Linked DNA regions of Kluyveromyces lactis. Each later gene encodes a partner of the first gene's protein in a complex. Links are inferred from orthologs where the notes say so. Each region holds a gene or a part of one and is shown in the gene's direction. Other genes may lie near its edges.

Region 1 (3,635 bases):
CAGAGCGCACTGCACTTGAAGTGAATTGTCTTGATGAACGCACTACTGGCACGTACCTAGACGCTAGCATCATTATTCTTTTTTGTTTTCGATTGAAAAATATGCACAGTACCACGCTTTAATGAACTGATATCAACCGCCAAATCAGACAACACTAGAAGATACTTCTGTGCTTAAGCTCATCAAGAACTTGACCGTTCAATTAATGTTCTAATATACAATATCTTCATCAAATTGTAAGTTTATAGTTTTTAGATGAAATTTTTCAATTTTTCAATTGGGCATAGAAAGAATGTAGTCCATATGGGAAGGTTCTAAAGAGAGAAAGAAACAGGATCTGAAGCGATAGATAGTTGCATCATAGTGGTCTTTAACAACGGGTCGAGTTAAGTGCGTACTTCCTGGTTTGCATGATGTTCACTGTATTCAGTAACTAAAAGCTGCTTATCTATGTAGCCCGATAGATAAAGAAGACGGGGTTACCCTATTCAAAACACCCACAACCCACATACTAGAATATGAAATTTATGCTTCCCAGTGCTTTTTATCAACATCTATAGTAAGTGTAGTTCCTTTACCTTAAAGCCACCAAGGCAATGAGATAGTTTACGTTTACTAACGAATTCTAGCATCAGTAGCTACCGAAAATCTGCCTAAAACATTTAAAATATTATGGGAAATGTGCTAAGTTGCTGCTTTCGTCAAGATAGCGACGAAAATGACCCGTTATTGCAGGAACAGGACAGGTACGGCTCACAAGCCCAATTAGATTATAACGAAATGGAACAACGACAGAAGGAAAGAGTGCTTGCAAGAGAACTTGAATTGACCGAAATCGTGAATAATACGAACGATAAGCTTATAGATATAGGTATGATCAGCAACAGCGGTATCGTAGCATCCTCACACGATTTAGGTTCGAGCTATGTGCAAGATCAAAGAGAAATTTTACATGACGTACCCTTAACGGTACTTCCCAGTTCGAAAATAAAACAGGACACAAGGAAGGCGATTCAAGAATTTCACAAAAAGTACTTCGCTAACCTAGTGAAAAACCTTACCGTGGAATATAACAAGCCATTGGTCGCCAATATCGAATCGTGACGCAATAGGTTTCTGCACTATTAGCGCACTCAAAATGGGTTCACCAAATGTTGAAATGCGATATATCACTATATACGTCTGAACATTTCTCAATCTTGTAAAGGTACTTTCACTCTCTTTATTGAAAACATTGAAATATACAAACTTTGTAGAATAGACATATAAAACAATACGCAGTATACGATTTTGGTTTGTCAAAGGAGCCAATTAGGTACGGTTAGAGTAAGTGCCTTGACTGCTGCATATATACTGAAATTTGTTCATTTAAGAAGCCAAGGAAGCGAGGAGGCAAAAAAAAAAGCATAAACAAACTGGAAAGCGCCAAATACTATGGCTGTGAAAAGAAGCAGATCAGAAGATCCCAGTGAGGAACCCGAACAAAAGCATTCAAAACAGAATTATGTACCAAGATATACACCAGGAAAACGTCCTAGAAGCGGCGCTCTACCCAAAGTGGATTATGTGCACCCTTTGGATCCTACAGAAGAGCTCATTGTAGATCTAGATTGGACTATTCCTAAGTTGAATTTGTTCATCGCATTTACTTTGGATAATTTAGTTGAAGCTCACAAGGCTTTATTCAAACACTTTATCAAACTACCCAGTAGGAAGTTTCATCCACAGTACTATTACAAAATTGATCAACCGATCTCTATTAACGAAATTAAAAGCAGGGATTACGAATATAGTGGTGGGGAAACCAAGTTCTTATTGGATTGTGAACTGATCTACAAGAACTGTCTTGCATATAACGATCCAGATTCTCTTATTGTTAAAAATGCGAAACAAGTGGTATATTTCATCAAAAATGAAGTGTTGAAAGTAAAAAATGCTACAAGAAATTTCTTGGTTAACGATGATGTGAAGACACGTTTCATAGCAATCTTTGACACTTTACTCAATGTAACAGATAAACAGATGGCAGAAATCTTAGCAGAAGATGATGACGTAAAATTAGAAGCGGCTTCTAACAACAACTTGGATGACACTTTAAACATATGCCAACCGTTCCTTGAATTGGTAGATAAAGATGAGTATCCAGAATATGAAGAAGTGATTCGTTTACCTAACTCATTGAACTTGGTGAAAAATAACTTAGAACTTGGATACTATCACAAAATCTACGATTTCATTACCGATGTTAATTTGACGTTTCAAAACGCATTGGTTTTCAATGACGAAGATACTACAATATATAGCGATGCATTGAAGCTGATGAAATGTTTTAGTGTATTGATCCAAAGAAGGTTCTTCCCTGAATTAGAAACTGCTAGAGAAAAAGGAGAAATCACGCTGGAATACGACAAAATTGAATATAAACAGTTCGTACAAGAAGAAGAAGAGGAAGAACCAATTCTTTCTGATGATGATGAAACTAACGAAGAATACAATTATATAGAGGGACTAGGAAATGGATATAATCGAGGCCCAATGTCTAGAGATTACCTTTTGGGACCATCAAAAACAAGTAAAACTGCAGACTCGAAAGTTGAAAACAATGAACCAGATAAACCACTTCCCTTGAAATTTAACATCCTTCCTGTTATAAAAAAGCACAACATTGAACCAAAGACAGAGCCAGTGCCTTATAAAGTGATAGAAAAGATTCAGATTTCTTCTTCTAGAAGTTTTTATGAACAATCAATACGACCACTGAAGGGACTGTATCAGAATTCCGACAATATCACTTGGTTCGAATACATATTCGCAGATGGTGCCCTCACCCAAACCAGCCACGAATATGCTATTACACTACCACCAAAACAAAATTCAATTACTGTGGTTTCACAATTAAGCTCTCCTGTTTCAGAAGATAGCCCTGCAGTTTTGATAGCAAACAAGGATAAAGTAAACCCAATACCAGTATTAGATGGGGATAAATTCGACGAAAGTAAAGCAAGATACGATATCAAGTTGGCAGAAGGTCTGAACACTGTTACTTTCTCTGTAAGAGATTCAGAGAACGACCGTTTGGAAACAGCCAAATTCTGGATTAGTGTATTACCTTAGTTAGCTATTATGTAGCTCCAGTGTAATATATGAAGACTATAAATTTACTCAAAAAATGGGGCTTGAAAGAAGAATCACTCTCAAGAGAACCGAACGTCAGTTATTAAAAAAAAAACACTCTCACTCGATCCAGTTAGCAATATACAATGATATCATCTCCATTTAGTACCCTGAACACCTTTTCAGGCTCTACATTATAAAGATCAATTTTCAACTTGCTCGAAGTAGCCAATTGTAAAAGCGACAAAAAGGCATTACAGGCAATTCTTTTAGTAACAGGTATAATCTCTTCATCTTCTTCCTGACTTAACTTACTTGGGATAATATCTTCAAAAAGGAATTTTCTGGAATAACCTGGGAAAGCGGCAGTTCTTTTACCTATGTGTTGTCCTCTCTCAACAATATATTGAAAGAATTTTTCTGTCTGCTTATCATGCACGATAAGCTGCTGTTGATTTTCATTAAATGTCTGTGGAATTGAATCTGATCCTGAAAGGTAGTCCGCAGAACCGCTGTCTCCT
Region 2 (3,049 bases), on another chromosome or scaffold:
CGTAACATTGACGCTTGATGGGACCTTGAGCATTTTGTCTCTAAATGATCATACCATCAAATTCATTCATGGTCACAACAAGGGGATTACTTCTTTGGCGGTAAACCCATTAGTGTCTGGGTCATACGATGGTAGAGTTGTTACCTGGAATTCAGAAGGTGACGAAGTCAATGCTATTAGCCATGATATTCATGGTAATCTCGTATTGGCCATCGATAACTCTGATAACGAGGTATCGAGTGTTTCTTGGGACGAAACGTTGAAGAATTTCATCGATGGTGAAAAAGCGCTTGCTGAAACGAAGTACCAATTCTCAGAGCAACCTAAATGTGCGGTTTTCTCTCATAACACTTTGGCTGTTGCTACAAACACTAACGAATTGTTGATCATCGATAACAAGAGTGGGCTATTATCGAAATCGATAACTCTAGATAAACCTGTCGGGGCCCTCGCATTGGGAACTACTTTCGTGGCAGTGGCATACGAACAAACCAACTCCGTGCAGCTATTCAAAATTTCTGACCTATCAGATGCATTCACGTTGGCCACTCCATTACGTGCCACTCCATCTGCTCTTTCCTTCTCTCCATCACAAAAGTACTTGGCTGCCGGTGACGTGTCCGGTAAGATTATCCTATATGATCTTGACACGAAGGACGTCAAGACCTCGAGATGGTCATTCCACACAAGCAGAATTACATCCATTGACTGGAGACCTTCTGCAAATGATGATGATTTGGAGGAAGATTATGTTGTCACTGGCTCTCTGGACACCAACATCTTCATCTACTCTGTTAACAAACCTATGAAAGTGATAAAAAGATTAAACGCACAAAAGGACGGTGTGTCCAGTGTACTATGGGAAAACGATTCCACTATCGTCAGCGCCGGTGTGGACGCCTGTATCAAGAGGTGGACCGTCGAGTTTTGAATGAGACACATTTTTTACCAGTAACACATAAAAGTATTTAACAGTTAGTTAACGTACGAAATATAAGACAATGAATAACAATAGGAGGATCAGATGTTGCATCAAGGCCCCCCCCCCCAGAAATATCTAGAGCTTCTAGTAAAGCCGTTGAAGTTGTTCTTTCTTCTTTATCATCTCATACGTTTTGATGTTTCTCTTGAACATTGAACAGATTCCTGCCTCTCAAAGCTTATATATAAACAAACAAGATCAACAAAGCTCGGTTGAAAGCGGATATACGCATAACATTCCTTAGTAATTCTGTATTTGGAATCACCAATCAAGAAGCTTGAGTTTCTCCTATATCAGATATGGCAGCAGCAGGAAGAGGCAGGAAGAGCTCGAGGGTTTCTCGCTCAGCTAACAAAGCAACCAGCTATAAAATCGATACAGACGAGTTAGACATTGAAGATGATGAAAAGGATCAAGAGTACCCTGGACCAGCCAATGATGATGATTACGATGATGACCCAGATGCTGATATCGAAAACGAGGGTAAACCATCTCGTTCCAAGCGCAAGGCCGCTTCGAGCACACCTGTTCCAGTGGTACTAGCGACAAGAGGAAGGCCTTCAAAGAGGAAAAGAGAAGAAGATTTGAACGATCCCTTAAGACAGAAACTACCGTACCCAGTGGACGAAAACGGGTCTCCATACCCAATTGTGAATGACGAGTATTCATTACCTGAGGATCCAGAGGGTGAAACCAAGATCACCAAGAATGGTGATCTTCTAGAGGGAAGACAATTTGTAGTCAGAACTTTCACGGTACCTTCCAGAGGTGAAGTTAAATACATGCTTTCTACTGAGCCAGCCCGTGCCGTTGGGTTCAGAGACTCATACTTGTTCTTCCAGTACCATCCAAACCTATACAAATTGATTATCTCGCAATCAGAGAGAGACGATCTCATCAAAAATGGTGTATTGCCCTATTCGTACAGAAACAGAATCATTGCGCTAGTTACTGCAAGGAGTGTGTTCCGAGAATTCGGAGCCAAGGTTGTTGTAGATGGTAAAAACATCACGGATGATTATTACGCCGGTAAGCTTCGTGCATCCGGGAAGGTGAAAGAGGGTACCCCAGCAAGAGAAACATCACACACAAGTGTCACTGGAAGAAATACCCTTGGAATAGACATTCCGCAACAATTATCCGTCAACCCATCCAAAAATGCAGTAGAATTCTTTGACAAGAGAAATCACAACATCCCGGCAACAAGCAATATCTCATCTACGAACTGGCTCTATCATCATGCTGCTGCATGCAGTAGATTCAACAGTGATCTTTTCTACGATAGAGAACGCATTCTTCTCATCGAAAACCTCGGACTAAGAGATACGTACACGAACGTCTTACATATACCACAATCCACACAATCGACGAGAGTGATATCAGTGAAGAAAGTGAAAGGAAACACAAGCCAAGTTATGTACGAAACAAGAATCAAAGCTCTTGACCTAGCAAGACCTTGCACCGGTCTTTCTGACGTCCCTACATCGATGTACGAAGACATCTTGGACGAAGATATAGTCGCTGCTATAGAAGAACAAAAGAGATTCGAAACAAGCCTATAACATAGCTGAACTGACCTCCCATGTATACGTGTATATCTCAACATACGTAATAAGAGTGTATTATACTAAGTGGCCGGGTAACGATATGTCCTTGCTCTACCAAAAATGAATTTGGGCTTTTCAACCAGAACAACCCCATAAGGTGAACAGACAAGGCCATTTGCCACCGATAAAAGGAGCGTTAGCAGTTACATTTGCAATCTACAGTGGTTGCATTGTGAATTTAAGACCCTATAGTAGTGTAAAATAGCCAGGTGTTTGTTGAAACGGCTGTTTTTGTCTCGGTTTGTTTCGGTGTTAACAAAGATTTTCCACTGGTTTTAAATTCGAAAAGTCCTGTTAGGTAAACGGTATAGCAATCAGACTCGGCTAACCGTAGCAGCGACGTGGTGGTTTTATTACATTGAAGTGACTTGCAATGTTCCATTTAATAAGGCCGGTATCTAGGCTTGGCGTAAAGTCTGTGGCCAGTAGGGCGTTGTACAAAGTTCCAAAGGGGCGTTCG
Region 3 (3,264 bases), on another chromosome or scaffold:
CTTCCAAATCGGTTTCGTCATCCCATGGCTTAACATCCAAGGTAACGATAGACTTAGCAGCAGCCTTTGGCTTAGCAGCCTTCTTTTCGTTGTATTCAGCGATTCTCTTAGCCTTCAATTGTTCAGCTTCTTCATCGACATCATCGTCAGAACCGAACAAATCGACTTCGTCATCGTCATCTTCTTCTTCAGCAGCAGCTGGTGTAGAAGTAGCAGCTGGCAAGGATTCGAATTGATCAGCCTTGGAAGCAATGTGGTTGAACCATCTAGAGAATTCTGGGTAAGTAGATTGGAAAGCCTTGAAAGCAGAGACGTCAGCTTGAGTAGCAGAGGTACTATATTGATGCAATTGTTAGTTAGTAAAATGGAAAGAACAAAAAAATGAAATTTTTTTGTATGGCAGCTAAGCTTGCTTGCTGAAAAGAGAATTCAATAAAAAAGATAAATCAGAATCGTACTGTCTAGGTACTGTCTCTTTGTCACTCATACCGGGGGTCTTACTTCCCGTCATAAACACGGACCAAAGAATTTGTTCATCATTGAAATAGTAAACTTTGAAGAATTCTCTTATTCAAAAAACTGCTTGATGCCATTGGAAAACCACCACTATAATTATTTCACATACCCTTCAATGTAAGACTTGTCAGCCAAGAAAGTGTTCAACTTTTGCAAGGTTTCGACCTTGGAGAAATCAGAGAAAGACATCGTTAATGGATAGTTAAACCTGGTGAGAGAAGAAACTAGGAAAGAATCAATTCCTCTTCTTCTTCTTACAAGGAACGTTGAATCAAATTGACGAAAAAAAAATACTGAAAAGCTGATGAAAAACTCTAATTCGAAAAGTTCCAATATATATATATATATATTTATGAGATATATGATATGTAAGACGTATGTACTATGGAATTATGGCATCTACGTGTATTCAAAGTGCATGCAATGTGCGGTGGAAGAAAATTTTTTTTCTTCCTTGTAAGTGCGATGAGATAGATACTGGAAAGGCAACAGCAGAAAACAGGGCACGCTGCGGCGTGCCCTGCGACAATTTGAGAAAAACCAAGTTTATTTTCAAAAATCATGGGTCCACCCCTTTGAAAAACGATTTTGCCATAGTAAATGGTTCCAAAACGGTACGGATTTTTCTGAGAAAGTGTTCTTTTTTTCATTTTTTTCAAACTGGATTCCTTTTCTTTTGACAAGTGAAATGTTTACTCAGGGTAACACTTAGATTGTTCAATCAACTCATCACTGTATACGAATATGAAAAAGTATCCATCAATTCAAGAATAGAAGTGCAAGTTCGTGTTTTAGGGCTGGTTGAATAAAGACTATGATAGTGTTACTACAAACAAACGGTTTACTCATTGAAGCGTGCTGATATACAGCAGACAAAGCAACTACGACCTGCCTCCCAAAATTGTATTGATATGTCGCTCGTACCGCAAGCCTACTTGAGTAACTTCCATAATAGAGTGAAGAACGAGGATGTTCCGTTGTTTACTGCTGCGCAGTTATCGAGAAACAAGAGGGGTAAACAGGTGAACTACGCTGAGTTCGATACGGATCTCTTGGATGAATTCATCGACAAGAACGATGAGGATGATTTGGAGGATGATGTGGACGATTCGGATGGTCGTCGTAGGGGTGGGGACTACTATGATCAAGTAGACGGTAGTGATGGAGGTGCTGCGGCTGCTGCCGCCACCGCCGCCGCAGCGGCGGGACTCGGTGAAGATGGTGGCATTGGTGAGGGCACGCCCGGGTCTGGTGACCCCGGTGCTGTCACTGGCGGAACGCCGGCTGCAGATACTGGGCCAGACGGTACAAACGATGGTACTGCAGGAACGTCAAATCCTAGCTCAGAATTGGATCGCATCAAACTAAACGACTTGCCCGACCTTGAAAGTCAGGATGATTCTGCCACTCCGCTAGCTTTGTTGAAATATCCTAGGATTAGGGAAACTTTCGTGCAAAGTAGGATCGCTATCAGTTATAAAGACCTTCTTGGAGATTCTATCCAGGATCCGCAGCAAGTGGATATAGAAAGCCCGATAATGGTTCCAATACGGTTAAACGTTGAATTCAGTGGACACAAGTTAGCAGATTTTTTCATGTGGAATTTGAACGACCATTCGATGACTCCAGAACAGTTTGCTACGATCTTGTGCCAGGATCTTGATTTCCCAGTGCTTTCCAACCCAAATAATTCCCCATATACACAGATTATCTCTATGATTAACGAACAATTACAAGAATATGAAACATTGGCATCTTTACAGGTTCCTGATTTACACGTGATAATAAATTTGACTGCAAATCTCGATTCCAAGCTTTATGATGACACTTTTGAATGGAACCTTAATGACGATTCATTATGCCCAGAACAATTCGCAGAATTGGTGGTACAGGACCTGGGCTTGCAAAGAGAGTTCGTTCCTGCCATTGCACATTCGTTGCATGAATCCTTGCTAAAGGTAAAGAAGGATTGGCTCGAAGGTAATTTGAATTTGGCCCATGTAGAAAATAAGGCAGCTTTCGGTTACACATCAGGTATCCGTCTAGATATAGATACACTTGGCGCCTCATGGTTCCCTAAGGTAGAAGTCCTCTCACAATGGGAAATCGAAAAGCGTGAAATTGAAAAGGAGAGAAACATGAGAAGATTAAAGAGAGAAAGTGCCAAGGTCGATGACGGAAGATCCAGAAGAAGAGGCAAGAGGAGAATGGATGACTTGGAAACTACTTTGAGAATATAAGTGTGTTCTCTTTTCCGGCCAAGCAGTTTAACTTCACAGACGCCCATTAGACAAAGCTGTATAGAAAATAAAGTTCTCCATCTATTCGTGGAGATTTATGTATCATTAATGTATTAATACCACCGTCATCTGTGGTTTTGCACAAATACTCTTCCTTTTCGTCAGACTATTATTTATTTAGTCGCCAAAAATCTCCACAACAAATAGAAAAAGATCAAAGATCATCGCGAATCAGTAATGCGTACGCTGGGAATAATAAAAAGTACATACCCGAAATCCTTATTACTTCAATTACTATGCTCCACGAAGTATTATACAAGCATTTAGACGGCATTTTAGTCTCACGTTTGTATACTGAGGATCAGTTTGTTGATCTATTTTCTAGAACGATACCGGAATCCAACACTGTGATCGCGTCACAGTTATACAAAAGTTATGAAGAGAATGATCAACGGATCATTGAAAAAATAGATAAACTCATCGACAACAAGCTGTCTTTGATAAGAGT
Region 4 (3,678 bases), on another chromosome or scaffold:
AACACCTAGGTGCACTCGACAGTAATGAAAGAATCACTGATGATGGTAAAGCAATGAGTTTGTTTCCGCTAAGTCCAAGATTTTCTAAAATGCTGCTTGTTGGTAATGAAAGCGACTGTTTGAAATATGTTGTTACCATTGTCAGTGCCCTTTCAGTAGGTGAGCCGTTTTTATCTGAACAAGAGCTTGGTATCATGGATACTGTGCCCAAGACACAAGATGAAGGACAATTAGATGACTATCCTGATCACGAAGCTGAGGAAAGAAAAAGGCTATTGCGCTCCAAGTATGTTAAAAGCAAAATTAGATTTAGTAAGCTTGATAAATTCAGTGATGTTTTCCGTCTTTTAAGTGCAGTATCTGCGTTGGATTTCATTCCAAAGGATCAGCACAGTTCTTTCATGGAAAAAAATTTCTTAAGGGCAAAAACCGTAGAGGAGATTATGAAGTTGAGAAAGCAGGTGATGTTCATCATCAGGTCAGTTACTTCGAGAGAAAATGTAGCTGTAAATGTTAAAGACGAAGACTTGAAGAGCTCGATCCCCACCGATGTTCAAATCAAATTACTCAAGCAAATGATCACAGCAGGATTTATCGACCAGGTGGCCGTTCGCGCAGACCAGTTATTCCCGGAAGACGTTACTATCAACAAAACCAACATTTTCAATATCCCTTATGTTCCAGTCCTTGCTGAGAAAACATCTTCTTTGGATGATATCTTTGTTTATATTCATCCAACCTCAATTCTCAACAATTCTGGCGAGCAACCTCCGAAATACTTGGTTTTCCAATCACTACATGTCAATAAAAATAATGAAAAGGCGAAAACAAGGATGAAGTCTCTTTGTGACATTAAAAGCACGCCATTGGCTAACGTTGCAAGAAAGGGCTCGTTACTCACTTACGGAAAACCAATCACTGGACAAGGTTTGAAACCTATTGATTTATCGCCAACAGAAAGATTCTGCTATGTTGTTCCTAGATTTGGATCTTGCAATGATAGCGACATCAAGATTGGTTGGGAACTCAATCCTATCCCTGTTCATCAAGAGAAAGAGAAAGGTGTATGGACGGTCAAGAAATTCCTTACTCCAAAAGCATTTAAAAACTATCAAGCTTCGAAAAGACCCTAGAACTACACCAGTACAATTTATAGAATTAATTAACTCATATAATACCAATTGCATTGGAATAATTAAAGGCCAATACCTAGCTTGTTAGGCTATGACTGGGTACTGTTGCTGTGACAGGAATCTCTGTAAAAGCTGTCAATGGATGCCAGTTGGATCATGATGTACGGTTTTGATGTTTTTCATAATGAAAACACAGGTTTTGGCGCAGGTTGATCAATAAAGGCTTCTTACATTACTGCTGAATGACAAACTGATGGGCAGTGAGAGAGTACAAGGTCTGCAAACTCTTTTATAGTGGGCTAAAAATAAGTAAACAATGGTAGAGCTGCTAAAAGAGAATTTTTTTCAGAACTTACTAACTGTTTTAAAAGGGTATGTGAATATAAAAACAACACATTTTTCATTCGAATTATGTTGCATTCGCACATGTTTTTGTCTAGAATCGGTGATAATAATAAATTAAAGACCAGCATACGATGACCTGGGGTTCCTCAAGTCTTTATTTTATGTTTTCAGTGTTAGATTTGCCAAAGCATGATTTTATTTTACAATCAAATACTAACAGTATTAATTTTATTTTGATTTAATTAGTGCATCTTCGAAATGCAGAGCTTTAGATGAAAGGTTTCCTAAAGAATTCTACGAGCCTGATCCAACACACATATACGATTCTTACGTGAAGTTTCTAAGGGCCAAGTTTGATGAAAATCCAGATATCAAAATAGCAGAAGATATTGATTCAATTTCCATATCTGATAAATTTGCTAGTGGAGATTACCAGAAGCATGAAGATTCTGTTTATCGGATTTACCATGATATTAAATTAGTATGCTCCATTTTAATTCACTACTACTCTCAAGGAACGAGGTCGTACCAAATGGTCGACAAATTCTACAAATTTGCAGCAGAATTGATTCTAAGGGAATGTTATAGAGTTGGAGCCAAACTGGTGGGAGACTTCGCGGCAGACATTGACTTCAAAGAAAGTGATTTTTCAAAAACCATTTCCAATGATTTCCTTAAAATTAGTCAAGTTTATCAGCTCCCCGTTACTGAAACTTACCATACGCAGACAAAGGAGGGACATTTGTTCAGTTCGGTGATAACGAGGTCAGTACTTGATCAGAGGCCAAAGGAAGTACCATACGAGGAATGTGAAATTGTGAAAATTATTCCTCAAGCAACATCCCAACCAGCCAATAGATTGGGATTCGTAGCAGCTAACACTTCCAATGTTCCTGATCCAACAATTTCTCCTACAGAAATCATGACCTCCTTTCTGCATCCGAATTGGTACCCGCTACCCACTACTAAATGGTTGGAGTATGGCGACTATCAATCTTTTGCTCCGAGTATCTCGGAGTTCAAGTCTGTAACAGATTGTTCCCGTAAAGGAGACATATGGTTGGAAAAGGTCGGATACAAAAGCTGGTTAGAAATAGAATCGAAGAAGAGAGGGGCTGCGGAAGCAGAAGATAAAAATGTTGAAGATGAAAAAATAAAGGATGAGGGTATTGAAGATCAAAAGGTTGAGGAAGCAAATGACAGTATCGGATCTGACAACCAAAAAAAGGAATCAAATGAAAATGATGAAGAGCAGAATGTTGCCACGGATGAAGAGCAAGATACAAATGAGGAGGGAGATGAAGTAATAGTGACAACGGAGCCAGCTGGACCTGTCAATATTAATTTGAAAAATCTTTATGACTGGCAACCTAGCCATGAGATACATGATGAAGATATAACGGCTTTTGAGCAAGGTGAACAGCAAAGGTTATTGACAGAGATATTGCTAAAGCTAAAGGCATGTAAATCGAGAAGGGTCAAGCTGAACAAGATATCAAAACCAACAAGTGAGGAAGTTTCCCTTTATCATAGAGCACAGAACATCTTGAAAGAAGCTCTACTTTCTAAACAGATTGTGACATCTCCAAAATTGCACGAGAAACATTTCCCAGTCCTTCAGACTAATTATGCCGGATCAGTTCCTGTCGTCAAGACCATATCGACTAGAAAAAAGAAAAGTAAGAAAGTTATGCAGTGAAGTAGATATTTCCGTATAGAATCTATAAATCGCAGCTGTGGTAGTGTGCAATAATCTGTGGGGCTAGTTTATTATCAGTGATAGCTAACGGTTACTATTATTTGGAGTTATTTTCTGAAACCATCAGTGTTTCGATTTTTTTACTTCCTCAATTACTTTCGAAGGTAAATGTCCAAGAACAATTAAAGATTATATAAAGAACAAAGAAATTAACCACAACAAAGGTACAAGAGAAGAGATCAACAAAGCAGATCCAATAAGTACAATTTACGAATTGATTATAGATTAAACAGAATCCATCAAAACTATATAAAATGCCTACTTAGACTTAAAAATGCACGTCCGCTCCCATGAGGTATGAAAATACAAGATAACAATTCAATGAACCAATTGTCAACCATATAACAAATGAACTGATGCTCAACAGTCTTCCATTGGTGTAGTCAATGGACTTAACGCCTTTCGATAATAATCTACTTTCTTCAGTACTGTCTGCAGATG
Region 5 (2,233 bases), about 620 kb from region 1:
TTGAACAATTTTTTTGTATCCTTTTGAACTTGAAACTTCACTTTAATGGGTATGAGAGGTTTTAAAATTCTGTTTCGAAGGTATAACTCCCTTTGCCATTGATACTTCGCCAACGGTTTTGGAGCTATCTTGGTCATTCTTAGGACTCTACCCGGCTTTAGCTCAGGGAAATAAGACTGAAATAATAACTGTTCTTCCTTCGCATTTTGTTCCTCTTGTTTCCTTCGCTGTTCCTCCATTAACCTCCTGTGTTGCTCATCATATTCGTTAAATTGGTGTTGTTCTGGACCAAATGACTGATATGTGCTCTCCATGAACAATGCATTATTACCTTGTACTTCAAATCCAGCAGCGTCAACTTCATGCATCACATCACCATGGTCCATCAGAGTCATATATTCGTCGTCTTCAGTCAGACTCCGCTGAAACGACCCTTCATTATGCCTGTTCGGAGAATGGGATGGCTCTTCTTCCTCCGGTAATTCTTCATCTGCCAATTCATCTTCATCTTCAAAATCAATAGCATTCGGCAGATGCTCTGTTTCATCTTGCTTACCATTGCCGCCACCACTAGTATAATTACTAATATCTAATGCCCCAAACTCACCACCAAATAGAGCGTTATACGCATCATCTTCATTGCTGAAATCCTTCTTTGCCTTGCCTTGTTTCTTGCTTCCTGAGCTTCCAGCAACCCTAGGCATTTCGCAAAAATGGGTGTATTATGACTGGAATCAGATTAGAATTCTGTTATTGACAGAAATATTGGCTCACAGAGTTGAATGAACCTATTTAACCACCCTTTTTATGACTTCGAGCACTCTTTACTGAAATGTACATATCAGCTCTTCAACTTTGTTTAGATTTTGATATTGAGGGATCAATCCAGAGACCGGGTAACGTAATTTCAGTGCAATCCATGTAACATAAACCACTATCATGGCCCAGATTGGCCACTTCACTCGAATTAACAAGGTTATATGCAATGTGTAGCATGCACTCATCTCATTTACTGGCTTTTCGTTTCAATAAGTGGTTCGCTGACCTATTAATCGACCATTTTATCCCATTTAAGGTCAATTTTTGTTGATAATTCTGCCAACATGAAATTAAAGCCAAACATCAAGAGCTTAAAGCTTAACAGTGCGAGCAGAGATCTAAAGGTACAATGCGACAATCTTTTAGGTGTTAGATCGACTAACTCGGCCAATTATTTCAGCAAATTTACACACTGAGCCATATACTTAACAGAAAGTGAGAATGTCTTTGATAAGTAGGGCAAATCGTCTTGGAGGTTTCACGACCGATGCAAAGCATTGGGAATACGAATGGTCCACTACTGCTAAACAAAATGAAAATGGTACTGATGAGAAGGTAAAATATAAGTTCAAGCAATGGGTAAAAAAAGATCATCCTTTGAGAGATGTAGTTGAGGATGATACAGATGTTCTTAACTTAGATGAATTTGATAGGACGAAGATAGCTAAGAAAAATGCTCGTGTCCAGGAGAAAAGTGGCCCAGATTCACTCTCAATTAACGATATAAGAGGAGCTGTTGGTGGTTCTGACATTCCTGGGTTCTCAGGATCGGATGCTAAGAAAGAAGCCGAGAGTGAAGCTGCTGTTGAAACTCCTGTGGTTGAAACTCCAGCGGAAGAAACTCCGGCTGAAGATACACCGGCAGAGGTAAAAGACCAAGAAGGCGACGTAAAGATGGAATGATTCATTATATAACGATTACACCTATATACTGTAATTTTACTACGATTCATGGAATCCAGAATGTGGCCTGGACGCCCACTCTCGAATAAGATAAAGACAGTCCTTCATCCAAAGGAGGGCAAGCAGGAAAAACCATCACCGCTTTTGTTCTCCACATAGGACGTATGTGTGCGTTTGAGACATTACTATATAAAACTATTGGCTTTCATTATTCACGTTGTTGGTTTTGATAGTCATAAATGAGATGGCATCGCGAGCGGTTTTAATCGAAGCCTGTATTTCTGCTTCACGTTTGGATTTTTCCACTGCACGGTCTTCCTTATCAAGTTTGTTCAACTCACTCATTATTTTGATCCATTCTCTTGTATCACCAGTACCTGAACAGATTAGTAGCATAGCTGATGAAGGTAGATTTTCATAGATCTTTGTAATTCTTTTCCCCATGTTTTCCAATGCTAGCTCCTCAGTTAGAACTTCAGTGTCACGGTTATTGCATGCGGCAAATTCACGA

Evidence for each region.
Region 2: RSC4 (region 1) and NPL6 share a complex: the UniProt entries of both Saccharomyces cerevisiae proteins name them as parts of the two forms of the RSC complex. The link is inferred for Kluyveromyces lactis from reciprocal best matches to the Saccharomyces cerevisiae genes RSC4 and NPL6.
Region 3: RSC4 (region 1) and SFH1 share a complex: the UniProt entries of both Saccharomyces cerevisiae proteins name them as parts of the two forms of the RSC complex. The link is inferred for Kluyveromyces lactis from reciprocal best matches to the Saccharomyces cerevisiae genes RSC4 and SFH1.
Region 4: the proteins of RSC4 (region 1) and RSC58 are in contact, whole or in part, in a cryo-EM structure (PDB 6K15), measured with the Saccharomyces cerevisiae proteins. The link is inferred for Kluyveromyces lactis from reciprocal best matches to the Saccharomyces cerevisiae genes RSC4 and RSC58. Residues at the interface, in NP_012933.4 of Saccharomyces cerevisiae: Leu364, Tyr377, Leu379, Asn380, Asn382, Lys385, Ser429, Met430, Gln431, Lys432, Glu433, Met434, Gln435, Ser436, Leu437, Ser438, His441, Met443, Tyr445, Lys446, Asn478, Trp481, Glu483, Tyr484, Phe486, Asn494, Glu495, Asn496, Ala497, Phe498; in NP_013133.1 of Saccharomyces cerevisiae: Ala169, Thr170, Glu171, Leu172, Ile175, Ile176, Asp179, Phe180, Ile181, Lys182, Ile183, Ser184, Met185, Asn186, Tyr187, Thr188, Val189, Pro190, Ile191, Gln193, Gln196, Asp203, Phe205, Lys216, Arg217, Pro218, His219, Ile228, Asn229, Asn230.
Region 5: RSC4 (region 1) and RTT102 share a complex: the UniProt entries of both Saccharomyces cerevisiae proteins name them as parts of the two forms of the RSC complex. The link is inferred for Kluyveromyces lactis from reciprocal best matches to the Saccharomyces cerevisiae genes RSC4 and RTT102.

Annotation. Positions count from the first base shown.
Region 1 is NC_006037.1:259,193-262,827, forward strand, and holds RSC4 (Rsc4p), read left to right. Parts: upstream 1-1,434; coding exon 1,435-3,114; downstream 3,115-3,635. Other genes in the region: mitochondrial 54S ribosomal protein mL50 MRPL13, read right to left, coding at 1-73; MEH1 (Meh1p), read left to right, coding at 673-1,104; REC8 (Rec8p), read right to left, coding at 3,248-3,635. UniProt on the Saccharomyces cerevisiae protein: Component of the chromatin structure remodeling complex (RSC), which is involved in transcription regulation and nucleosome positioning. RSC is responsible for the transfer of a histone octamer from a nucleosome core particle to naked DNA.
Region 2 is NC_006042.1:1,271,992-1,275,040, reverse strand, and holds NPL6 (Npl6p), read left to right. Parts: upstream 1-1,281; coding exon 1,282-2,544; downstream 2,545-3,049. Other genes in the region: AIP1 (Aip1p), read left to right, coding at 1-931; m-AAA protease subunit YTA12, read left to right, coding at 2,963-3,049. UniProt on the Saccharomyces cerevisiae protein: Component of the chromatin structure remodeling complex (RSC), which is involved in transcription regulation and nucleosome positioning. RSC is responsible for the transfer of a histone octamer from a nucleosome core particle to naked DNA.
Region 3 is NC_006039.1:1,628,969-1,632,232, reverse strand, and holds SFH1 (Sfh1p), read left to right. Parts: upstream 1-1,427; coding exon 1,428-2,756; downstream 2,757-3,264. Other genes in the region: EFB1 (translation elongation factor 1 subunit beta), read right to left, coding at 1-335, 626-705; NKP2 (Nkp2p), read left to right, coding at 3,053-3,264. UniProt on the Saccharomyces cerevisiae protein: Component of the chromatin structure-remodeling complex (RSC), which is involved in transcription regulation and nucleosome positioning. RSC is responsible for the transfer of a histone octamer from a nucleosome core particle to naked DNA.
Region 4 is NC_006042.1:1,593,536-1,597,213, reverse strand, and holds RSC58 (Rsc58p), read left to right. Parts: upstream 1-1,449; coding exon 1,450-1,505; intron 1,506-1,724; coding exon 1,725-3,177; downstream 3,178-3,678. Other genes in the region: ATP-dependent RNA helicase ECM16, read left to right, coding at 1-1,133; putative divalent metal ion transporter SMF3, read right to left, coding at 3,506-3,678. UniProt on the Saccharomyces cerevisiae protein: Component of the chromatin structure-remodeling complex (RSC), which is involved in transcription regulation and nucleosome positioning. RSC is responsible for the transfer of a histone octamer from a nucleosome core particle to naked DNA.
Region 5 is NC_006037.1:881,550-883,782, forward strand, and holds RTT102 (Rtt102p), read left to right. Parts: upstream 1-1,260; coding exon 1,261-1,722; downstream 1,723-2,233. Other genes in the region: TAF1 (histone acetyltransferase), read right to left, coding at 1-704; RNH70 (Rnh70p), read right to left, coding at 1,918-2,233. UniProt on the Saccharomyces cerevisiae protein: Probable component of the chromatin structure-remodeling complex (RSC) which is involved in transcription regulation and nucleosome positioning. RSC is responsible for the transfer of a histone octamer from a nucleosome core particle to naked DNA.